3 linked regions of the Arabidopsis thaliana genome follow. The protein of the gene in region 3 interacts with the protein of the main gene of each other region in a pairwise test. Each region holds a gene or a part of one and is shown on either strand. Other genes may lie near its edges.

Region 1 (7,898 bases), on a different chromosome or scaffold from region 3:
TCTGTTACAGCTTCATCAGACTCTCGGAATAATTTTTTTTTAAATACCAGTTTGCAGTGTAGTATCTCTCCTTTATTTCGATCTTTAATAGCTTTAAATTCTGCGAGGAGATCTCCAATATACTTGTTATCATCCAATCCTATATATTCCTCTGCAAGTGCACAGATAGAAAAATGATCGATAATGTTGTATTACTTCACAATATATGACGAAGCCAGTCATATGAAAGCATACCATTTCCGGGATCAGATGATTTAGAACTTGAAACAACTTTACGACATTCAAACAAACTAAAGCTAGAGAAAGCTGATAGTTTAATTGTTCCAGCTAGCTCCTGAAACAGATGTCAATGCAGTGAGAGAAAAAGGGACAAGAATATGATCAGCGGTAAATTATGAAAAAAGAAAGCAAGAAGATACCTCAACAGCATCAGACACTGTGGTAGCCATGTCATATGAAATTTCTTCAAAAGTTTCATCGAGAAAGAAGACAATGGTTGTGAGCTTTCTACCGGTCAAAAGGGCTTCAATTTCTTCACGACCAGGTGTGGTGTGCCTAGGACCAGCTTTGATAGAGCGCTTTAAAGCTTTCAAAGTGTTAACAGCAAGAACCTGAGCATCCGGTTCAATAGTTGCATCGTGTGCGACATTATGAATATACTCAGATAGATATCCACCGATATCTTTGCTAGGAGGCATAGAGGAGGCACATAAGTACATCAATTCCCAAGCTTTGATCAAGTATTGCCTGTCAGGATTATGTCTAGTCTGTTTGGAGATTTGGGCAAAAAGTTCGTCCCTGAGTTCAACACGCTTCAAAGTTTTTTTGAAGAGCTTTCCAACGAGGTCAATGCGTTCATCTAAACTGGGAGGCGTAGATCGATCAGATGAATCAACACCCATATATTTTAAGATGAGATGAAACAACTTGGTAGCACGGCTGACGAGATCGCTGTTAATCTTGAGGAGAGATGTGGGGATTGGATCCTGAAGGAAGGAAGGGGAGAGAGACATATTCAGTCAATGGATTGTCAATGGGGAAGAAAGGGGGGGAAAGAAAAACCTTTTGAAAGCAAAGCATATCCTCAAATGTGAAGCGCTCGCGGACATTGGAGCCAGAGGACTTTTTGGAATAGAAGAAGCCACGCTTCCCAGCAGACTGGATTTGTTTCTGCATTAGCCGCAGAAAAGCTTCAACCTGGAAGCGATCGATGAGGGGAATGGCGGCGGCAAGCTCCGCAGGAATTGACAATGCCACTTGAGGAGCTGGGGAGCTGTGACAGAGCGAGAGACTAAGAATGTTTTCAAATTTTCAAAGAAGAAGGATCAACAGAGACAGCAGCAAGAGAGTGAATGTTTTTAAAAATTCAAAGAAGACTTACAGAGGAGGAAGAGAAGACGACTCGGCATCGAAATCGGTTCCAGAGGGATTGGGAACATAGAAGCAAGAAGAAACGTCGGTGGCGACTTCGGTGCCATTGCCAGAGCTCAACGAAGAATTACTGCCTCGTTGGCCCTCCATACCCGAAGAAAAAGAGAGATTGTAGTAGATCTGATGAACAAATTTGCCCCAGAAATTTGGGCAGAGGGAGAGAGAGAGATGGGGAGACGAGAGTCACGGGAGATTTTTAATTGCCTCTTCTCATTCAATACTTCACGATTCACCTGATTTTCTAATTATTTTTCGTTTTCAGAAGATGAGACCAAGGAGGAATCTCAATCAAATAAATGAACAATGACTATAGACGTGCTTCCACGTCCGTTTGCCATGGTTGTGCCTCCAACACCATTAACAAATCTTAACACAATTCTGCTCTGCTGCTTTGGTGTCAATTCTCAAATACAATAATGATTTATGTAATGTATGCAAGTCCTATTCAACACAAGTGTTGTTACATTTATTTTCTTTTTTCTTTCCCACAGACGTAAACAATAGTGCTCCATCACCTTCTCCACTTCACAGCTTTGCGATCCCTAAAGCAGGCAAGTTATTCCTTGGCGGAAGCTTTAGATCATCCTCCCGTTCCACTCTCTCGAAGTACTGCTCCACCATGCTATCCTTCATGTCCTCCAGTCGCCTTGGCTCCCACTATAATTTCAGATATTGTTATCAACAATGTCACATATTACCAACCACAAATAACAAATGGAGAGACTTGTTAAACCTTTGGGTTCTTATCTTTGTCTACCAATATGGCTCTGCACCCCTGCATAAGTAAAGACACGCTGTTGTAACTACGGTCTACAACAAAGACGGTTTCAGATGGAAAAAGCTTGCAAAACCTCCACAAAATCTTTGCTGATTTCTCCCTTCATCACATGACACACCATTCTATACTCGCGGATAAGACACTGCCCCACCCCCTGCAATCGCCCTTCCCTTATCTGAAATATATACTCACAGTCAGCTCTTTGTCAACATTGCCTGTGATGCACATTCTGGGAACTAACCGATCTAAGAGAGATTTTAAGGCTTGCTGGTGAACCCTTCTTCAATGCTTGAATGGTAGCTGAGATCCAACCATCTGCTTCTTGAGTGGCCTCTCTCTCCTAAGCAACACATATGATGGTAGAGTGCGTTGTCAAAGGTAAATCAGTCAACTCAGGATCGCAAGTCAACATCTCTATATATAAATGAAAAGCTTACAAGTGCAGATATAATTTCTTCGACTGTTCTCCTTGAGAAACACCTATCAATAACATCTAACCTGCGCAACAAACGGGGAGATAAAAAATAACTGTCCTCTGCACTTTTATAAATTTTCAATTAAAGATCAGATGAGAAATGAGTTCTGTAAAGAGCGATTGAAAACCTGACAGCAATACGAAATTGAAATTATAGAAAAAATGTGTTATAATCATGGTCAATAACCGAGAAAATGTAATCAGGTAAAACCATACTAGTAGAAAGAGTAAAAGAGATAAAAATCATATAGACTTGCCTGCGGTAAGCACTCTGCTGTTTCAGGCGCGGATGCTGGGTGTATGCATCGAGAATTGTTGAGGCAAAAGTTGGATCATTTGAATTAATTCTGCAAAGATCTGCTTCTAATGCAGTCAACCTCTGTGGAAAGGAGTAAACCTAACTAAGTAGCAATCCTTGGTGAAGCAGATAGTGCTTGACACTAGTAGCTATACAATATCTGATGTGTAAAGTCAATTCAGAATGTCTTACGAAATAGACGCACGCAAAGGAAGTTCATACCGTTGAAGGCACAAAATGAGTTGCAAGGCCACAAGCAAGCATTTCAGCACCATCTAATCTAGCTCCTGTGAGGCCAACATACTCCCCTGAACAAAAAAGACAAGAAAGCATTTTCAAACTTTGGTGGCTTTAAGAAGATGCAAAAAAAGGAAATATAGCTTCTGTTACCAAAAAAACCAGGGAGCCTTGACAAGAAGTAGGAGGCGCCTACATCTGGAAAGAGCCCCAGAGCTGTCTCAGGCATGGCAAAAACCTTGGAGAAAGTCGAAAGATATGAGCATATTTTGGAGCGACCTATTTGTCATCCATGGACATGTTTAAGGAAAGATTACCGTGTTCTCAGTTGCAATACGAAATCGACCATGGACGGATACACCAGCTCCGCCTCCCATGACGATACCATTCAAGATTGAAACCTATACGAATTGATGAGTTTATCCACTCGGGAGTGATTTTACAAAAACAAAACGAAATTATAGCGAGACCTGAGCTTTGCTATATGTGGCCATAACATAGTTGAGCATGTATTCAGATGAGAAGTAATTGGCACCGAGTCTCCAGTTACCTAGTCAACGAACGAAGATAGAGAAAGAGTGTATAAAAGCTGAAAGTAAGAAACAGAAAAGAATGGGTGGTAAACCTTGATTGATGTCACGAACAACAGCTGCAACATCGCCACCAGCACAAAAGGCTCTCCCATGACCCTGTGGCAAAGTTATTCAGTACTAAATGTGTGTAAGCGGAAGAGATAAGGATAATGATTACCTTTAGGATGACAAGTTTCACACTAGGGTCCTCCTCAAATGCAAGGAACAGTTGCAGCAATCGAGAGATCTACAGAAAAAAATGAGTCTAAGCCAATACAGTACGCATGTACAAGAAGGGAAATATTCGATACCATGTGGAAGGACAGAGCATTCAGCTGCTTTGGTCTGTTTAGTGTCAAGATTCTAACACTCGATTTCTCTTCCACCAAAACCTGTGATCATATTATTAATTCAGAGAGCGAAGAATTGATCGTCGTAGATTCGGATTAAAGACGCAAGAAAGAGACCTGAGACTGAGAGGCCATCTCGACTGCCATCTTTCTTACTGGTCAGATTCGCCTTTGTATCTCCGGAGAGAGGAGCAGCAATGGGATCAGAAATTACCACTAATGGCTAACAAAATCTTCACCCGCTTAGTTTAGGAAGTTGATATTGGGCCTTATAGTAATCTGTTGGTTTTAATAATGGGCTTTATTTTGTTAATAGAGCAAATGGAACTTTGCTTTTCAAACTCAATTTCAAAGCCCTCTTGCAACATGCTTGATGAATGAGAAGATTATATGTTTTTATCGAGTACGTTAGACATGTGTTTTTTTTGTTAGGAAGCTAGTTTTCCAACTAACCAACACCTCCCTCTAGCATAAAATGACACGTGGGCACCAGATCAATCATTAAAAAAGTCTTCAAAAATTCTCAACAACCACTTCTAAAAGTCAGACATGAAAGCCCTCGCCTCTCGATATATAGATAATTTGCATATACATGAAAACTCAACAATCTGACGCATATGCAACAGAGTTGAAAGATGGAAAGAGCAAGGATACGATGGCCGAGTGGAAGAGGAATTAGGCTGAGGCAGAAGACAAAGAGACTGCGTGCGAGAGTGAGAAGCTTTTTCAGGCTTCTCAGGAGCTGGTGCTGCAGAAGGCCTCCGCTGGTCAGAGAAGACGGTCTTGATTACACATCTATACGTCGCTCTAACTCTTTCTACGCCGATGCAATTGCAGACTGCATTGACTTCATCAACCGCTCCTCCGCTTGACAGCTTCTCATTCTCTTCCAATAATTCTTTCTTCCATTTTGTAAAATCCAATGTTTCTGTATATGCAACCAATTCGAATTCTTTGTATTATTTTATTTTTTTGACGAGTCGATGCATCTTTAAGAAGTGGGCTTATAATGGGCCTGATGATACTACATCCTTAGAAACCACATTAGTTTAAATCAGATCTGACAACTGCAGTGGTTCATACCCTTAAAGATTAAAGGCCCGTTGAAAACCCATTAAGTATTTCACATCATATTCTGGGCCAGATGAACAATCTGACAGCTATACAAGTCCATTCCCTTATCCAAAGGCCCGTTAAAAGCCCACGTAAAATGAATGTGTCAGATCCTTCCTTGCTCGATTCAACGCGTCCGAGTCTCAGACACTCCCCGGCGAGATGGAGGAATACCCGGAAGAGCTCAGGACGCCACCGGTAAGTCTGGTGGCTCTCTTCGGATACGCGGAGCTACACGCGTCCATTACTAAGTATCTCCACTCCCAGCAGCCTCCCATCAACGCTCTGGCCTTCCCCGACTTCTCTCAAATCTCTCTCCTCCTTGCTCATGATGATCAGATCAGCCGAACCTCCTCCTTCAGAGATCCTCTCAGCGTCTCCGATTCTGCTTCTCCCATTCCTTCCAGATGCGGCGGTATTTTGAAACGGGACTGGTTGCTTAAGCATCGCACCAAGGTCCCTGCACTTGTCGCCGCCTTCTTTCCCTCACATCACATCTTCGGCGATCCAACTCAATGGCTACAGGTCTGCTCCGATCTCGACAGCCTCAAGTATTTCCTCATCTCCCTTTATATTTGTTTCCTTGTTTCCCCTCCTTTGTTTCAAACCCTCAAATTAACACTGCGATCTCAATTGCTTGCTAGATCCGTAATCCGTCCCAAAAACATCAAACTGGTGGTTGTCGTGGTCCAGTCTTCTCCCCACGGTAGCGCATTTTATCCGATTATTCTTTTCATTTTCCTCTCGGAACTACTGGTGACTTACTCCTTCCCGACTTGTTTTTAGAGGACATTAGCGACGATCGTCTGGTGGCATTGCGAAAGCGGGCAGAATTAGATTCTAAGTACGTGCTCTTCTTCAATTCCAGCATAGTCTCTGAACTCACGCTCTCTCTCTCCAGGTATGTTTCTCTCCTCTTTTACTTTGCACCTAGAACAAGAGGCTTTTCCTTCAATGCATCTCAACACGGTATGTTTGCAGACTCGCTTCTGCTTTTGCAGAGTTGGCACTTTCTTATTACAGAGAAGAAGGACGGAGAATCAAAAGCCGAATTGAGAAAAGGAGTTCCAATTCTCTTGATTTGAATGTTCGCTACTGTTTTAAAGTAAGCTTTTCTCGTTACCTCTGCTAAGTCTAATCATTTTGTTCCAAAGTATCTGGGAAAAGGAAGGCTCATTCATGCCATGACTGCTAGGTCGCTGTATATGCAGAGTTTCGTAGAGATTGGGGTGAAGCACTGAAGTTTTATGAAGACGCATACCATTCCTTGCACGAGGTCTTTATTATCTCTAAGTATTTTGTTTTTTCCCAACCCATCTGTCACGCTAATATGTATTCTGCTTCTAGTCAAGAAGTTCCTTTTGATGCATATATGGTCATTGCTTTCTTATTATTACATATCTTTGCCTGCGGTTTCCACACATTCAATTTCGACGAGCAATTTTGTTTATGCAAACAGATGATCGGGACATCGACTAGGTTGCCTGCAATACAACGCTTGGTCGAGATCAAAATCATAGCTGAGCAATTGCATTTCAAGATATCAACGCTTTTGTTGCATGGTGGAAAACTCATAGAAGCAGTGACATGGTTTCATCAACATAAAACATCATATGAAAAGGTTGTCGGATCCACAGAATTTATTTTTCTCCATTGGGACTGGATGAGTAGGCAGTTTCTTGTCTTTGCTGAGTTGCTGGAGACAAGCTCAGCAACTGGTCAGAGCTTAACATCCTCAAACCAAGGAACTGCGGAAATATCTTTGACTGAGTTTGAGTTTTACCCTGCCTATTATTATCAGGTCAGTCAATTCTGCTCTATGTAACACATAGTCGGAACATATCTAAACTTGGTGGTGCATTTTGTGTTAAATCTTTTCTGTGTCTTTTACCATTTAGTTAAAAACAATACTACATAAACTTAAACACCTACCTCTAAGCAAATGCTGGATTTTTCGTCCTCTTTCTCATAAATTTCTGAGCTGTCTGTTCCTAGGTACAGTATGTTGAAAATATAATATGTTCTTATCCACTGGGAAATTTTCGTTTTACACGCAGTTGGCTGCTCATTACTTGAAGGATAAGAAATCTGCCCTGGAACTGTTGTTGTCAATGTCTGAAATAGCTCAAGAGATTGATAGCAGCTCTGCATCTATTACTCCTTCAGTCTATGTGGGTCAGTTCGCTCAGTTGCTTGAGAAGGGAGAAGCTATTACACTTCACTCGTAAGTTGTTCATAATTCATCCCACAAATCTATGTAAAAGAAAACTAATTATGCTACCACCATCTCTAATAGTATGAATTCTAATGTATTTGCAGTATAACGGATGAAGAGTACACACGGTATACAATTTCAGAAGCAAAGAGAGTTCAGGATTCCCTTCAAATTATTGCTTGGCTGAAGAGATCTTATGAATCATTTACCAACCTTAAAGCCCAGAGGATGGCTGCTCTTTGTGCCTTTGAAGTAGCCCGGGAGTACTTTGATTTGGCTGATCCCAACAACGCAAAATTCTTTTTCGATATTGCTGCAAACTTGTACAGACAAGAAGGTTGGGTAACTTTGCTCTGGGAGGTGTTGGGTTACCTGCGAGAGTGTTCGAGAAACCTTGATGCTTTGAAAGATTTTGTAGAGTTTTCACTT
Region 2 (7,250 bases), about 17 Mb from region 3:
CATTCTGATAAAGATAGTAAACCGTACAGCCAAAAAAACGAAAATATAGTTAGATATGCATCACATAAGATCTTATAACTGTCAATAACATGACTTGTGCGACAAAATGCTAGCTATGGGACTATAAAAAGGTCAAACTTGTGAATGTAATGAAAGTATTCAGAAACACAAATGTTCATTTCACAGGCGAACATATAAAAATAGCAGGACACACAAGAAAGTAGATCCATTTGAACATGTTTAAAACCGTCTTACATTAAAAGATGGAAATTTAAGATAATAATCTATAAGTTTTGAGTATGATAACGCCACTCGAAATGACAGCCAAAAAGCAAAAAAAGGGAAGCTGATGTTACCTTCTTTGTACGAGGCGGATGAAGTGCTGAGGTGGTACAAATGCACGCTCCATATCAACTAATGCAACTACCATCTTCTTAGCTTCATTCTTGAATCCATCAAGTGCGGCACTTGCTATAGCTACAACCTGGTTGACGATTATTTAAGAAAAGAAACAGCTATTAGTAAGACGAAAAATGCAACTGAAAGAGCAGTAAAAGCATAATTACCTCTCTCTTAAAAGGAGGATATCTCCCAAGACCAGGTGTGGCATTCGCGGAAGCTGAAACTATGTCAACAAGCACTCGGTGAACCTAATAAGAAGTTCAGACCATATTAGCTCAGTAACAGATGAGACGGTAAGGCAACCAGGTTGGAAAGGTTGAGTAGGAATTTAATAAATTTGAATCTGGAGAATTAAAATATCATAACGAAATGTGTTGAATAGACCACATGTGACAAGCCATAGCCAATATTTCACTATTTAGTAAATTTCTGAATTTCAATGCTACGCATCTCAAACAAGAGGAAGACAACACCAGTTAAGCTATAAACACTAACATGGACACACCTCATCAACACATAGTCGTGCTGGGTCTTTAGCCAACTCAAGAACGGTTTTTATTAACGATCTCAACCCTTTCTCTGGAGATATGAGATAAGGTTGATAACCATCAGCCTCCAACACGATCTGAAACAATTGGAAAATCAATCTGTCACACTCCAGTCTAAAGCCGTTACTTGTTTATACAATTTGAGGCAGGAAAATTCAGAAACCCACCCTTTTGACATTGTTCAAGTCAAAATGTCTATCCAACGGAAGCTTTTTGATACGATTGGGGAAATTGCCTTCAAAACTTGCAACAACTTTCCAACCACTTCCCTGAACCAAATTTTTATTAGAGAAAAATATTTACCGAAATCCAAAAAGGCCTTCAGCACATGAACGGGCACAATCACCAGACATGCAATTCAAAAACCTTTTCCGTGAAACATATCACATATAGATCCAATATTAGTATCGTGAAATCCTAGATAATATCAGACAATCTTCCTAAATTTCTTAATTGTCTATATTTAAACAGTACCACACATTTTCCATAACAACTAGAAAAATGAAAAGGCTAAAGTATGGTTCAGCTAACGTAGGAAATTACTCACTTCACCACCAGCTAAATGGAGAAGAAATTTGTCTTCAAACTCACGACAAAGCTCCAAAGCTATTGCCCTTGTGCCTTCAGCACTGCTAACCAATTGCTCACCAAGCCTCGCTAATTCGTCCTGCACTATTTGAGACTTACCCTGGAGTCTGCATGTAACAAAGGAATTTGTAAGTTCAGGACTATCATAAGAACCAAAATCATGTCCCTAAATAATCATCCAGAAACTAAAACAAAAGATAGACATCACATTTTGGGAGACAAAAGTAATATATCAGCTTAACAGATGATGATGAGCATTGACCAGAGATCTTGCAAGCAAGAGTTCTTATTTTCAGAACTCAGTAACGATGGCAGATAAATCTGGCACATATCCAATTTCAGATAACTATTTCCTCTTATGCAACTTTCCCTTTTGCTTTATCTTTGCCTTTTGGTTTATTCCAATTCACTAAACACCGTTCCTCTCCATTGCAAATTCAACATAGAGGTTTAATTTCTTGACTTTTAGGTAGATTATCATCTATTCAATCAGTTAAAGATATGAATCTTGTTTTCCTTTTCAGAAACTTAGCTTCGACCTGGTCCGTATATGTTGATTAGAAAGACACAAGGACAAAGGTTTCTAAAATATCTCATGAGAAGTGCGCTAATGATGATAGGAGCTGGAAAGTCTAGCTAACTAAGCCTAAAGGTCGACTTCAACTTCAAAGAAACAAAACAAATTGGCTTTGATGGAGAAAATTGTAAATCTTCCCTAAAGTACCAGTACAGAAAAATAGGCAAACAAACAATCGATTTTTCATTTGACATATAAAAGCAAAAACATATGGAGAGAGGAAATACCCAGTTAAGATGTTCGGAAGCCTGAGCTTCATTCTGCTACGGATCTGGCTAGCAAGAGTGTCGACCAGGGCAATTCTGCCAAGTTTGCTTTGTGGAGCACCAGTCAAAATGGATTTAAGGCTTTCACTCTCAGCACGCCAAGCAGTTTCTAAAGAGTTCTCACTGCCTCCAGACTGCGCTGATGCAATTGAGACAGATTGGCCAATAAGTGCAACCCATGGAATATCAGTTGTTTTTGGAGGTCCTTGATTTGAAAGAAGCGCCTGAACTGCTGCAAGGGACTTTGGGTTCTCTGCTGCCTGATCAATTTTGCTGATAATTCCTACTGTCCTAGTACCTATAAATAAGGAGTGATGTTTTTTTTTTTGGTTATAGTATACACAAAATTTAGTTCCAATGTTTCTATCCAAATGTAGTAACCCCAGTTGTTTAGAAGTATAATGAAGGGTCTGTATAACGAAAGTGCCTATATACTCACTCTCTGGATCATACTCCTTTGCGATCTTCAGGGCTCGAGATGACGAAATTTCAGATGCCTGGCTAGCAGGCACAACAACCAGCAATATAGCATCGTTGTGCTGTGCATGTTCACCAATCTTGCAAAGAGAGGAGAGAAACAAATTATAAGATGACAATGATAATGAATCTATGAAGCCCTACAGCCAGAATGCCGAATAAAAAATGTGGAAATTCTCCATGGTTGACAGGTGGATTAGGGGGATGACAAAGGCATCAAGCAGTTCCTAAGCTTACCATAGAATCGTCCACAATTCGCTGGTCCAGTCCAGGCAAATCAATCAATTTCAGTGGTGGAGCTGCAATTAAAAGGGAAAAATATGTTATGATGATTACAGAAACCAGTACAAAACAAACGATATGTGATAATTCATGTTCCAAAGAGAACATTTAAGTTAGATCTTCATTTAGATATATAGTCCAATTTTCACAACTTAGCTTCAGATTCTACCCAAAAGAAGTTGAAGCGCTAATGTGCGTTAGATTTAGAGGTAAAAACTCATTACAGCTGAACTGTTCACTTAAGTAGGGGACATTATCCGACTTAGGCTTGGGTAATATGGATGTTGCATTAAATAGGGATTCCCATTTATGATTGTGCAAGTAGAAAGGAATTACCTGTGCTGGTACGAAGTTTTAGGTATATTTCATCACGACCCCTTCCTGAAGCTCCTTTGCTAAGCCTATCTTGTAGTGAATGCCTTAGTGCACCTGTAATACACACATTCGAAAAAAACGGAAATATTAGTCAAATATTAATCTAATGCATTGCATCTTACATGCAGAAATAGCTTCACAAATCATTGCTAAATTGCATATGTGCACATAGGGAGCTCTTACTTGCAGAAACTTGTTGATTTTTATTGTCAATTTGCAAGATTATTGCCTTGCTGCTCAGTGATTCTTCTCTACTCAAATCAATGATAATAGGAGCCCGTGTCGCACCATTCTCACCCGTCGGCTATCCATGGTAATCATAGTAGACAGGACAACACAAAGTGGTTACTTTAAGAAAATGTATCAGCCAATAGTGACATACACAAATTGCCGCGCACTCAAATTCAATACACAACTTACCAGAACTGGATGCCCAATTAGGCTATTTAGAACTGCAGACTTTCCAGCTCCCTGATCCACCAAGAAAAGTGAAATAACTTCAGTCTTCACATAAGAAATTTTTCTTTTCTAAGCCTAAGAAGTTTCAATCACAAACACATAGCAATATTTTTTCTGTCTTCCAACAGATAAGTGTTTTAGGAAACAGAGTAAATCACATACACTTTTCGTTCTGATATACACTTTCTAAAATAGATTTCTCATAGTTTCAAATAACAAACGCATCAACCTTCTCTACTATAGTAATACCTCCCAGGTTTGAATCTCATAGAATCAAATAATCCCTAATAAAGAGAGAAACGCAACAAAACAAGCTACGAACGAAGAGATGAAGAATACAAAACATCCTACCAAACTCCTAGGTTACGGGACCATTTCGAAAACACCTCATCGAGATCCACAAGATCCACGATATGGCAACAAAAATCTACACTCGATCACAGTATAAAACTTACAACAAACGCCAAATACAGTCACATCTCAGAAACAGAAAAAGCGAGAGAAAACCCACCACATTCCCTAGGGCAACGACGTTGAGAGAAGTAGCTGGCCGTCTAGAAGAAGAGGTCTCATCGGGATCTTCGTCAGCGAGCAGAGACGCCGCTTGTCTCATCGAATCCGAAAGCTGAGACAACTCATCGATCGCCTCCATCGTAACTTGCACAGCGAATCGAGGTCGAATGAAGTACGAGATCTGGACGAAGAAAGGGAGCCGCTAGATCCGATTAGAATCAATATCGGTAGCCACGAGCGGTGGATTTTCCCGGCGATTGGGTTACCGGAATTTCGAATTCGGTCGCGACGGTGCTAAGCTAGGATTTGTTTGTCTGTGTGTGTCTTCGTCGGGGAGAGAATGGGCAAGACGGGTCATATAACTTTACATAAACACGTAGTAATTAACACATTTTTCAAATTTCATAAATGTTGAAAATTATTAAGTGGTTTTTTCTTTTCTTTCATAAATGTTGAAAATTTTCACAACTGTTCAAAGAAATTCTTTACAAATGTGAAAGCATAAAACACACAAATGTGGATGCGTAAAATATAAATTAACACAACTTTTTGCTATCAATAAAGACATTCTCAGCTAAATTTGTTCGAATTAAAATATTGTAAGTGAATTTCAATGTGGTACAAGAATTTGTATCATCGAATGCGCTTGTTTGGTTGTATATTTTTCCAAATGAACAAATGCGGAAGACCACTTTGTAATCCTGATGTAGGAGACTAGTATTTTTGTAATGTTTGAGTGCGAAATGTTGAGTTGTGATCAACCGAGTTCTAAATTTATCTCCAACAGTTTAATCTCTCTAATTTGTTTCGCTAGATGGGATAAGGCATGTAAGTTATCAAATTCGTTAGCATGCTAGGTTTGCAAGTATATCACCAAATTTTGGTATTGGTCTAACTGTTTGTATATAAATTTGTGTATACCGTATTCATAAATTGCTTGTATAAATTTGTGCATACAAGTATATCACTAAATTCTAATTAAAGTAAAAGCTCAAAAAAATTATCTTAAAATCATACGCGGATAGATAGTACCAAAAGTGTATGTAAGAGTGTCATCATCATATGCATTTTTTGTTTTTGTATGAAAGATATCATCTCAATATTTCGTAAACTATATCCAAAAACAAGCCTCTATGATATGCATTAGAGTTCATTTGTGCAACTAATGGTTCATGCCATCTAACCCCACAATAGAGACCTAGCGAATTGCAATGTTTCGCTAGAGGTATGAACAGTAATCCAACCATACTCAATTTATATGGACGCATTGCTAAGGTCAACAGAAGAGCACAAACCACCAAAACTCACAGTAGGATGCAATGCTTCAGTCCTAGTATGCCAAAACTCATAACTAAGATAAGAATCCTTACCATATATATTTAGGCATTGGATGAAACGTTCAACATTTATTAATGGTTTCAGTCAATGTTCAAAAAATTTACATTGGAATTTATCTCTATTTTGGACCGTTTATGCAATTTATTCCCAAAATATTGGAAACCAAGAGAACCGGAAATAACCGATTTGGAATTCTGGTTTACCACTGTTTTCAGTATCCTCCTGTTCTCTGTACTCAATAGCCGACGACACTCTGAGAGAGAGAGCCAATCGCGATTTTGAATTTTGCATCGACGGCGAAAAATGCGATCGTTAGAAGAGCTATCTCCGATAGAAACTCTAGATATCGAAGAGAACGGTCTCGCTCTCGTCTCACGCGTCAAGCTCAATCTCACAATCCACCCAGTAGTCCCATCCGTATCCAAATCCATCGACGAATGGCAACTCAAGCGATCCTTAATAGATTACCTCAAAAACTCTGTCGTAACCTCCGTCACAGTTCCGGAGGAAGACATCGTAGTTCGTCGTCACAAGGACTTGAAGAAACGGAAGCGTGAGGAGCCAGTTGCTCATGGATCGTTGTTTATACGCGATTTAGGGTTTCTCGATGGGAAGAAGAAGAAGAAGGAGAATGATGGAGAGAGAGATGTGAAGGAATTGGAGAAGAAGTTTTTGGATTGGAGGAAGAGTTTGGTGGAGAAGATGAATGGTATTGAGCTTAATTTGGAAGGAGTTAAGTATAAGCTTAGTGTGGTACTTCCGATTTCAGATGATTTCGAGAAGTTGAAGAAGGATTGGGAGGAGTTTTACGCTTTTGGTAATCTTGGTTCTTCAATTTTGGATTTTGATTTTACGATTTTTTCGTGGTAATTGATGTGATTGTGATTTGCAGGACATTCAAGGGAAGGAAGGAGAGAGGCTGATACGATTATACTTAGAGGTGTGCCATCAAGATGGTTTGCTGAGCCACGAGTTTCATCGAAGCCTTCTATGTTGGTTACACATACAATCTTCTCTAGCTTTGGGAAAATTAGGTAAGATTTTGTCATCTTTCATGTCCAGCTTGATTAGGATTGTTTTTTTTTCAATCGGAGTGAAGAGAACATTCATAAATCTGCTTCAAGAATGTGACACTATGTGAGTTGAGAGTGATCTATGGCTTGCTTATTGGAAAATTAAGTAGTTTTGTGCTGCTTTGGATAGATTTGATGCATCTACATTTGATCATAGTATACAGTATTTGTCCATGTAGTTCAAAAGAAATGACATTTTGTATGGAAATCTTATCTGAAGACTAATTACAATCATTGTATTGAACTTGCTTACCATGTGTTCTCAGTATTCTTCGGATCATTTATTCTGTTTACCAATGAATCTGATGTTAATATAATTCCGATAGTTTACATAAATTCCATGTTCCGCTGC
Region 3 (9,259 bases):
CTAACCGGAAGATTATTGAAGTGTTTTGGTTTCAATAATGTGTAAACACCTTGCGATTGTTTTGTCTAGCGCATAAACAACAAACTCTGCAACATCAAACAGATAAAAGATTAGTTCATAGATAATTATCGCAAGAATCAACTCAAGGAAAACACATAGATGGACTCAAAAAACTTCATTCATTTGAAGTCAAATGAAACTACTCAATAATTAGAGAACCAGGAAAGAAGCTGATCAGTTCTATGAATACAAAAGTCACTGAAAGTCAAGGGACAGATTATTTCCAACGAAAGTAAAGGTCAGAAGCAAGTGAGAGGTGATTACTCTTGAAGTTAGCTGGATCCTTAGAAGCAAAATGCTTAGAGGTTATGACAAGCACCAATGGGTGTCCGGATTTGGTCGGACCCTGAAGACAGACCTTTCTGAATTCCAATTCATCCTGCACTTCTGACTCAGGGATGAATCCAGTTGGAGGAACCATGGAGGCTCTCCATTTTTGCCAATCTACAAACATCTTTGCTGCCTTGACTGGGTCCATTGATCTTGCCACCAGGAACCTCATCAATGTTGGTTTGTCATATCCCTTTTCAGAGGAAACAACAACAACAAAAACCATTGATGAGATTTTCTGATTATGGATTCACTTTTACTAAACTGTCTCTACTGTTAGGGTTTCTGATGGGAGGCTCAAACCTAATCAGACAAACCACTATGACGAGAATGGAGACAGAGTTTTAACAGTGTAGCCCATATAAAACCCATCAAAATCAAATGACAGATATTTCTCATTTTCTAACGAGACATTGTCAGTGAAACTCATGAAACGGCCAAAAGATGCAAGCTTTGTAAACTGTAATGAAACTAAAGCGTCGAATTAGATTACCTCAGTAGAAGAAGAGAGTTTCTCGACCGATTTTCTCAACTGGGTCAAGGCAAGTTCTTGGCTTTCCTCCATGATCTTTGGCTCTCTCAGATCCTAAAAAAATCTCACAGAGAAATAAAGAGAGAGCCTTTTGTGGTCCGTACAGACGCACGATAAAGTAAGTTGAAAAAGTAAAGAGCTTTGATGTTGACAAAGACCCAGAAGCCACAGGAAGAAGAAACAGACAAAGTATTGGGTACTTGTCTCTACGGTAAGTGGATAGAAATAACTCAATAAGCCTTTCCCCAACTCGCTGCAATTAATGGGCAGCTGGAAGTTGAAGCTCTCTCTTTGACTTTTGTTTCTACTACTTTGACGATTTAAAACAGCTGTGATGATTACATTGCTTTTTAACTCCTAAATCCCGAATCTTAAGGCTTACTTAAAGTTCTTTTAATCATTTTTCTGATCAACCATGTGAAACAGGCTTTGTTAACGGTTATACATTTAGCTGCTTGTTCTTAATTGAGCATTGGAAATTCAGTTCTAACGATTTTTATTGTTTGTGACAGAAGAAAAGTCCTTTAGGTTAATAAGTTGTTCTATCTACATGAGATGTACATTAAATTTTCAAGAAAGATTAGCTTCTTTGTCATCTATTTGTTTTTAAACTTGAACTGGATCCAAATACAGTAATGGCACAAGTGGAGACCAATTGAATAAAAATCAAAGATTAGCTTCCTTTTTGTCTAATGTAAAGAGTGCGACTTCAAAATATGTCTTAACTGTTCTAAAAACCAGTATTCAAGAATCGAAGATACACACCAAAAAAAAGTGGGAAAGTTGTGATAGAAATTAGCGACCCAAGAAAACATGAGTAGTCGCGTGTATGTTTGTGTAGACTGGAAGTTAGAACTCCAAACATATCTATTATAATGCAGTGTGCCCACACGAACAAAGAAATTAACAATATAAAGAATATGTCTTAGCAAACCCCCTTACTTCCAAGCCACTGCATCGATGTCGTCTCTAGCTTGTTTGTAAAGCTCTAGCCGTTTAGCTAAGGTTCCTCTTCGTTCCATCAGCTGTGGGTCTTCGTCCAACATAGCACCCAGCTTCTCCTTCTGCACCATCATTTTTCTTAAATTTATTCTCGATTTGGGCATGGCATTTTCTACAAGGTAACAAAATAATCCAAAGGGTAATAATATAGTTTACCTCTTTCCTGCCAACTTGAGCGTAGAAGAAGTTGAGAAGCGATCTCTTAGCTTCTCTAACTTGGCAGTAAACGACAGCTTTGGGAAGAGAGTTTCTCAATGTGTCGCAGACCATGTTTATGTATGCACTCACGTTGGATCCTGAATTATCCAAAGTCAACAAACAAAGACTTGATAATGTATCATTTCTAAGTAAAGGGAGGCGAGAGAGACACGTACCGATCTTTCTGAAGTGATTATCGGAGTAGGGGTCTGCGTTTGGTGCTGGGGCATTCCTTGGGTTTGGTTTCTCTTTCTCGGGTTCAAGATGGAGTTTCCTGAAGAACTCAACCGTGAGGTAGCTAGATTCCATATCCACCAGACGCAAAACCGTTTTCCTGCTTTCGTCTCTGAATCTTTCAAGAGCTTCATTTGCAGCAGCTGCTATATCGCTTGCTAGAGTCGGGAAACGCTTCAGTTCCTGAAAAAAACAGCAATGGTATGTTAGGACTAAAACAGAGCGTAAAGAGCTAGGAAGAGTTCTCAAAACCAAAGGCATCTTGTCAGTTCTTACCTCTGTTTCTGAAATTGACTTTCTGACCAGCTCCTTCAATACGAAATGCACCTAGGAAATATCAAACAGCAATCAAGAATATAGTCAATTTACTAAAACTTAAGTCTCAAAAGTAATGCAATCTAATAAATTTTGGAAGCATACTGCATCGACAGTGGCTTCAGCTGGTCCTTTGAAATAGCTTATGGATCCATCAATGAGCCTTCTGTATCCTTGTTCAGGAGCAATAAGATGCGGCTGATAACCATCTGCTTCTGAAACAACCTTCTGAACATTTTTGGTAGACAGATGTCGATCAAAGGGAAGTTTCTTTAAGGCTGCTGGTAATTGATGGTCGAAAACTCCATAAATTCGGTCTCCACCAGGTCGTCTGATACAAACAACATAATGACTGTCAGAAGACCAACTTTACCGGACGTACATTGTGAAATTATGTGAAGCATTTTCTGGCAAACATCTATGAAAAGGTCATTGATGTAATTTTTTTACTAAAACTGCACATCCTTAGTCTGGAAACTGACTAGAAGGTAAGCAAAATTCATTATAGAGCAGCACATTACTCTGGAAACGACACTATCTCTTAAAAAAATTCATAGACTCCAAGTTGATCATCACAGTCGCAATGTAATAGTACACCAACAAGAAGTTATAAGCTTTACGAATAAGAAGTAGAATAACTAAATCACTTACCCTCCATCCAAGTGCTCCTTAAAGACACGATCAAATGCCCGGCAGAGTTCCAAAATTGTGTAAAGTTGGGCCTGAAATCATATATTTAGTGAGTGACTAACCATACGATTCTGATGCAACTCTGAATTCCAATTACTTAATGGTTTAAAATCTTACTCCTGAATCTACTGCAATGGGTCTCCCAATCCTATCAAGTTCTGCATTTATCTCATCGATGCTTTTGTTGATCAAAGCAACAATACTGGGGATTTTCTGCCTGATAACAGTCTCTAAGTGCTAATAGAGAGGAAAACAAAGAAGGAAGAAAGTCAAAGCTAAGCATTCAAGCTTTAATTTAAACGAGATCTGTGCAAGTAAATCCAAAGGGTACCTGAGACAAGAGTTTTGCTAGATATTCTGATCCCATTCTACTGGCTAAGTGCCCGTATTCAGGGCTTGTTTCAAAATATTCTTGCTCTTTTCTACGTGCAGCAATCATATCGACTCTCTTATTAATATCAGCTTGTGAACGATTCACAATTCCAACCCAGGGATGTTGCAAACGGTATGACCTTCCCTCAAGAACCTTCATCAAATAGGTAGAGGAGGTGTCACAATATATTAAACAAGTAACAGAATTAGTTGACACCCCAAGGTGCAGAAATCAAGAAAGACGCTTACATCTAGACAATCTGTTCCTTTATCCATGATATCAAGCTTGGTTGCAACACCAAAAGTCCTTTCGCCTACAGAAATATATTAGAAGGTTAAGAAAATGTTGTGGAGTGTAAAAAGTCACTACTTACCAGTTATTAGGAAACTACATTTAGGTCGTACCTGTAGGATCAACTTCTCTAGCAAGTTTTATAGCATCTGAGGTAGCAATATCTTGATTTGCTGGAGAAATAGCCAATATGATGCAATTTGGCTGCAGTTAAAAGATTTTATGGATAAGCTTCCAGAGTTGACATTATAGTGAGTGATGATGATCAAATGCATTCTTCTGTTCAACTTGGTTGGAAAAGTTGAAAAGATTGCCGAAACCGTCTCAGTAATAGCTTAGAGCAAGACTGACCTTTTCAACATAAGACCGGACCATATTTTCAATGTCTTGGACAATACTTTCCGGTTGTCCATCTACACGAATAATATTCATATCAGTGACTAGTTTAAGCACAAGATTCATATCAGTAACTAGTTTAAGCACAAGCTAAGCTACTGGATAAAAAATAGTAAACTCTTACCTACAGCGACCTTGGTCAAACCCGGAAGATCTATGAGCGTCAGATTAACAACTGTAGAGAAAAGAGTAGAGTGAGAAATCAAAGTCACATGGAAGAGGTTAGCAAAATTGGAATCTTCAAATCTAATTGTACTACTCGTTATCTCATTACAGCTGGTATCAAACTATCAATAATATAGGAAATTTACGGTGTTGGTTTCTGAACTAACTACAATAGGAATGCATAACAGGAAATGTGGTCTTAAGCACAAACCATTAGGAGAATATATGCTCAGCTGAATTGGAATGTTTGAGATTTGTTTTGACTTCCCAGTAATACGATCAGTTTCATCCTCAATTTCTTTCCGCACAGCAGCTGAAAAGAGAATAACACTTAGATTAGCCCGACATGCCTTTGTCGATTTCACTGTTTCCAGCAATTAGCGTGAAAGATTCAATCAAACTACCAAAATCAGCAAATCTCTTCTTAGGAGCATGAAGAAACTCAGCGTACTCAGTTGTCCCGTCTTCAGTCTTATGAAGTTGCAACACCAATGGCCTCCTTGTAACGATACCTGATAAAATCAAATGGTATCAATTTAGATGGTCTCCTTCTTCAGTCTCATGTTTTTCGAAGTAGTCAAAATGTTCATGTAATGCTCTCAAGATCACAGAGCTTCGCTAAATTGTTTGAAATCGAAGCAACTAATAAGAGCACGAAATTCCGAAAACCTAATTTCAATTCCAAACATCGAAGACACTAGACAAAATTGCTTAACGAGAGGTAAAATTACCAGATCCACGAGGCAGAAAATCTCTTCCCACAACACTTTCTAGAACTGAAGATTTTCCGGAACTCTGATCCACAATATCAACCAAACAAAAATGATAAATCAGAAACGTGGAGATTGAAGAGGCGAGAAGTGAGATCGGATCTTAACGTAGAAATGTGTATATTCAATAGAAAGAGATCAAACCTGGCCACCAACGACAGCGACGGTTGGGAGAGCTTCCCAAAGCGACATTCCTTCACCGCCATGATCTCCGAGGACAGTACACGCCCTCTGGATTTTGTTTATCAGACCTATCAAACTTTTCATCGTCGCCATGTTTCCTGGAACGTATCACAGATCCAGAAAATCTCTCACCGACGCTCAGATCTAGATCTAACGAAACGAATATAGTTATCGGAGGATGGATTTGAAACGTCCGGTGAGTTGTTACTCTCTCGCGGTAGCAGGAGGGATTGATGAATCTGGGAGAAAAGAGGAAAGAACCCAATGGAGCAGAGAACGGTAATGGGAAAAACAATTTCAAACCAAAAAAGTAGGACTACTTGCTCAAATATATAATACTTTTGGACCGAAAGTGAAAATATATCAAATCCCACGTCGCTAAACGCGTACCGGTCAATGATACGGAACCGGTTCAATTCATGTGGTTATGTTCTTTTTTTCTTTCTTTTTTACTCAAAAGTCAAAACTACTAATTATCATTAAGACCTGATTACATTACAAATGTACTTTTTTCCCAATAAAGTCTGACTACAAATGTTGTAAATATCCTTCTCAAATCTCAATGATGGTGTTCTTATAACTCATGTGGTGTTCATTAACTCTATCTCTCTCTCTTTTTGTATATAGCTTTTTTGGGTTTTACCAGTTCTTTTTTTGAACACCAAGAAGAGTTCTTTTAAAGATAAAAAATTAGGCTACCAATATAATCGAGGTTAATAAGAAAATTAACTAAGAGGAGAGAGTGACACACACAAAACAAGAGAGTAAAAAAGCTTAAAATGTTGAACAAAACAACCCTACCTCTACTACTGCAGTACTACTATACATAACGCAACAGAGTAAGAAATATATCAGCTAAGTGAAGTCAATGTCTCCCTTTACCTTGAATGTTGGAATGCTTTAGAGAAACACACATCGAATCAATCAGGTACTTTACACGATTATCTCTTTCGGCTTTTGAATCCCTTCTCTCAATTTGGTACAAGAACCTTAAGGCAAGCCACAGAGACCAACCAGTGATTGATCGAATCAGTTTGTCACTGTGTGCTCCTCGTCATCCCGATTCGTCCAGACACTCTACCAAATGATAAAATACATAAACAATAATGACATCTAAAGGTAATAATAAAGCTTATTGTAGTTGATATGATAATACATTAATACCTTCCAGAAAGTAGCTGAGCTGTGTTTCCCTTTGAGACCGAGAGACGTCTGGTCTTACTATCTTGTTGTCCTTTATCAACAACACGCATTGCAGCAACTTCTTTCCCCATTACAGCTACTTCTCTTCGCATCTTCTTTGCCTCAACGTCCATCGCCTTTGTTAATGTTTCAACCTTCTTGGCCAACATCTAAATATACACAACCCATATCTTTAGACTTATATTATACAACATTTCATATAAAGGCGGCAAAGAACAGGAAAAAAGGCCAAACACTAGCAAACCTCAATCGCTTCGTCCTTGTCTCTCAGGCTCTGATCTTTTTCATGCGCCGCTTTTCTTAATGTTATGACCTCTTTCTGCAGCAGATCGTACAAGACACCTGGGACGCTATCATTATTTGTTGCCTTGTCAGCTGATTCTTCTTCCCCTTTTATTGAGCTAGGCGATTCGCCTCTGCTAGTTCCTTCAGAAGACTTGTGGTTCAAAGGAAAATTCGATCTCGGTCCATTTATTAGCACTTTGCTTCTATCCAATGATCTGGTGCCCCCATCAAATGATCTTGATGTTCCTTTCGCATGCTTCAATACAGTGCTTGCACTAGCAGTCAATGATCTCAACTGAGAACTTGGTGTTCTCTTAATCAGCGAGCCATTTGATGTAATTTTTGGACTTGTTTCAGCTCCACCAAGGGATTGTCTTCGAGTAGGCCCGTTGCTCGAACTTCTACCAACAGATGTGCCTCTGCTGCTGCTGCTCGTAGGCCCCTTTAAACTCTCTTCTAACACTCTAAGCCGCAGTAAAAATTTCTCCTAAAAATAAGTAAAAGCAGCAATTCCTCAGTTAGGAGATTAAAAAAAATAAGATGGTGTCCCGCAGCTATGATTCTACCTTCAGCTGAGCTTCAGATTTTGCAGCTCGGTCAGCTATGGCAAGTTTGTCGCGTAGTTGTTGCATTTCTCCCTGTCCAAACATAACGGTGGTGGCAATAGTATAAGTTAATCTCCGTGAATATGAATCACAATTTGAAGCAGCAAGAGAATTTAAATATTAATATGTATCAGCAATGACCTGCAAAAATCTACGTTCTTCAAGCCACTGCCTTACAGGCATCACTTTGTCATTAGAATCTTTCCATTCGTTAGCTACAACAGTAGCAACTCTGTTTGCATTTACCTTCGCACGGGCCAATTCCCGTTCAAGGATTTTCCTCTCTTCCTAAGGAAAACACAAAACACCACAATTACGATCAGTACGAGACCAAAACACTAACAAGAAAAACAGTAAGTTATTGAGGTACTATAGAAGCATATGAAATATACATTCATTTCTTGGAATTTCCTTTGGTAATCTCTCACTGCGTTTGCGGCTGCACCACCAGCAAGAACAGCTTCTTCTAATTCCCGAACACTCTGCATAAGCTTTTCAACTTCTGCAACCTTCTGTCTGTGCATCTTGTCTATAATTCTATTCTCTTCCTATTTTAACCAATGTATCAACAAATAAGGCCACCACAGTGGTAAGAAAAGGAAGAGATACCCTATTCTGGTGTTCCAATATGTAAAAGAAATGATATAGACATACCTGACAAATTTCAATCTGTTTCATCAATTCTTGGTTCTTATTCTGGAGATCATCAACCATTGAAGCCTTTGCCAATGCAGACTGAACTGTCCTTTCAGCGTCAAGCAAAGCTGCTTCCTTTGATTTGGTTAGGCGGTCCAATGATTTATTGTCGTCTTGAAGTTTAGCAATCTACCAATCAAAACATGTAAACCCATATGAGAAAGCTGTTAAATGTCCCGTAAGTTGTTGAATCGAGCTATACAAAGGTAATTCTGGTTCAAAGGAAGGAAAATACTTCTTGTCTCGAAAGTTTCAGTTCAGCTTCTAAAGGGGCAAGAATAGCTTCAATTGGAGGCATGTCATCATCCTTTTGAGCAGCATGAACCCTACGAAGAGAAGCTTCTGCTGCAAACTGAGCTGCCATGGAAGCCTTCTTTTCTTCATTTATCTTCTTGATTTCAAGGTTCTGTGACAACATACAACATCATTATATATAGAATCAATATAAATAAGCGATCAAAGAACAAAGGAGATATTAGAAGCATACTTTACTCTCAAGAAGATTTTCAATAAGTTTGAGTTTTTCCGCCATCTTTCCCAACTCTTCAGTGAGCTTCAGCACTCAAATAAAATAGCAGAGAAGTCAGTACACAGAGAGTGTAAAGAGAGAAACTTTATATGACATAATTCCAAACAAGTAAAACCAAGCTCAGGCTACATGACTACATATTCTATAAATAGGAATATCACAATGCCACTCAAGCTAAATACTTTGTTTATGTAATGGAAGCTTAAAGTGTAAGGGCATAAACCTCTTCAACAGCCTTCTCTCTTTGTCGTTCAGACAACCTCAAAGCTTTGATTTCAGCTTGTCCTTCAGATAATTCCCTATCCTTATCTGTATAACCAAGTCATTGTTTCAAACACAAGAAGCAAAGTACTAATCCAAAAACCAATCTCAAATTCCATTGTCAAATCATCAACAAAATCA

What was found.
Region 1: the proteins of DL1C (region 3) and CHY1 interact in a two-hybrid assay, tested with the Arabidopsis thaliana proteins (one large-scale study listed by BioGRID).
Region 2: the proteins of DL1C (region 3) and DL3 interact in a two-hybrid assay, tested with the Arabidopsis thaliana proteins (one large-scale study listed by BioGRID).

Annotation. Positions count from the first base shown.
Region 1 is NC_003076.8:26,374,874-26,382,771, forward strand, and holds CHY1 (beta-hydroxyisobutyryl-CoA hydrolase 1), read right to left. Parts: upstream 4,809-7,898; 5' UTR 4,796-4,808; exon of another isoform or gene 4,745-4,795; intron 4,375-4,744; 5' UTR 4,289-4,374; coding exon 4,259-4,288; intron 4,184-4,258; coding exon 4,103-4,183; intron 4,039-4,102; coding exon 3,970-4,038; intron 3,909-3,969; coding exon 3,845-3,908; intron 3,770-3,844; coding exon 3,690-3,769; intron 3,621-3,689; coding exon 3,537-3,620; intron 3,458-3,536; coding exon 3,373-3,457; intron 3,291-3,372; coding exon 3,205-3,290; intron 3,064-3,204; coding exon 2,942-3,063; intron 2,708-2,941; coding exon 2,647-2,707; intron 2,550-2,646; coding exon 2,451-2,549; intron 2,385-2,450; coding exon 2,283-2,384; coding exon of another isoform or gene 2,259-2,282; exon of another isoform or gene 2,207-2,258; coding exon 2,165-2,206; intron 2,089-2,164; coding exon 1,957-2,088; 3' UTR 1,737-1,956; downstream 1-1,736. Other genes in the region: ZWI (kinesin-like calmodulin-binding protein (ZWICHEL)), read right to left, coding at 1-151, 235-334, 420-986, 1,063-1,291, 1,382-1,521; AT5G65950 (trafficking protein particle complex subunit-like protein), read left to right, coding at 5,417-5,805, 5,899-5,960, 6,041-6,155, 6,236-6,359, 6,450-6,530, 6,714-7,055, 7,312-7,478, 7,574-7,898. UniProt on the Arabidopsis thaliana protein: Involved in valine catabolism. May be indirectly involved in benzoic acid biosynthesis and in cold signaling and cold tolerance.
Region 2 is NC_003070.9:21,890,789-21,898,038, reverse strand, and holds the start of DL3 (dynamin-like 3), read right to left. Parts: upstream 4,898-7,250; 5' UTR 4,627-4,897; coding exon 4,486-4,626; intron 3,987-4,485; coding exon 3,936-3,986; intron 3,820-3,935; coding exon 3,699-3,819; intron 3,570-3,698; coding exon 3,477-3,569; intron 3,158-3,476; coding exon 3,096-3,157; intron 2,939-3,095; coding exon 2,821-2,938; intron 2,680-2,820; coding exon 2,343-2,679; intron 1,646-2,342; coding exon 1,498-1,645; intron 1,220-1,497; coding exon 1,118-1,219; intron 1,028-1,117; coding exon 908-1,027; intron 651-907; coding exon 567-650; intron 485-566; coding exon 357-484; intron 5-356; coding exon 1-4. Other genes in the region: ZCW7, read left to right, coding at 6,129-6,642, 6,718-6,859. UniProt on the Arabidopsis thaliana protein: Putative microtubule-associated force-producing protein, able to bind and hydrolyze GTP. Collaboratively with DRP1A, participates in clathrin-coated vesicle formation during endocytosis.
Region 3 is NC_003070.9:5,105,839-5,115,097, forward strand, and holds DL1C (DYNAMIN-like 1C), read right to left. Parts: upstream 5,909-9,259; 5' UTR 5,633-5,908; coding exon 5,501-5,632; intron 5,382-5,500; coding exon 5,318-5,381; intron 5,099-5,317; coding exon 4,991-5,098; intron 4,900-4,990; coding exon 4,798-4,899; intron 4,597-4,797; coding exon 4,546-4,596; intron 4,439-4,545; coding exon 4,377-4,438; intron 4,230-4,376; coding exon 4,139-4,229; intron 4,048-4,138; coding exon 3,983-4,047; intron 3,888-3,982; coding exon 3,693-3,887; intron 3,599-3,692; coding exon 3,479-3,598; intron 3,394-3,478; coding exon 3,323-3,393; intron 3,003-3,322; coding exon 2,777-3,002; intron 2,684-2,776; coding exon 2,633-2,683; intron 2,540-2,632; coding exon 2,299-2,539; intron 2,221-2,298; coding exon 2,081-2,220; intron 1,987-2,080; coding exon 1,861-1,986; 3' UTR 1,578-1,860; downstream 1-1,577. Other genes in the region: AT1G14820 (Sec14p-like phosphatidylinositol transfer family protein), read right to left, coding at 50-86, 325-583, 884-955; MAP70-4 (microtubule-associated proteins 70-4), read right to left, coding at 6,577-6,616, 6,704-6,891, 6,987-7,514, 7,594-7,665, 7,774-7,920, 8,025-8,180, 8,287-8,457, 8,564-8,734 and 2 more. UniProt on the Arabidopsis thaliana protein: Microtubule-associated force-producing protein that is targeted to the growing edges of the cell plate during cytokinesis. Also plays a major role in plasma membrane maintenance during pollen maturation. Has a GTPase activity.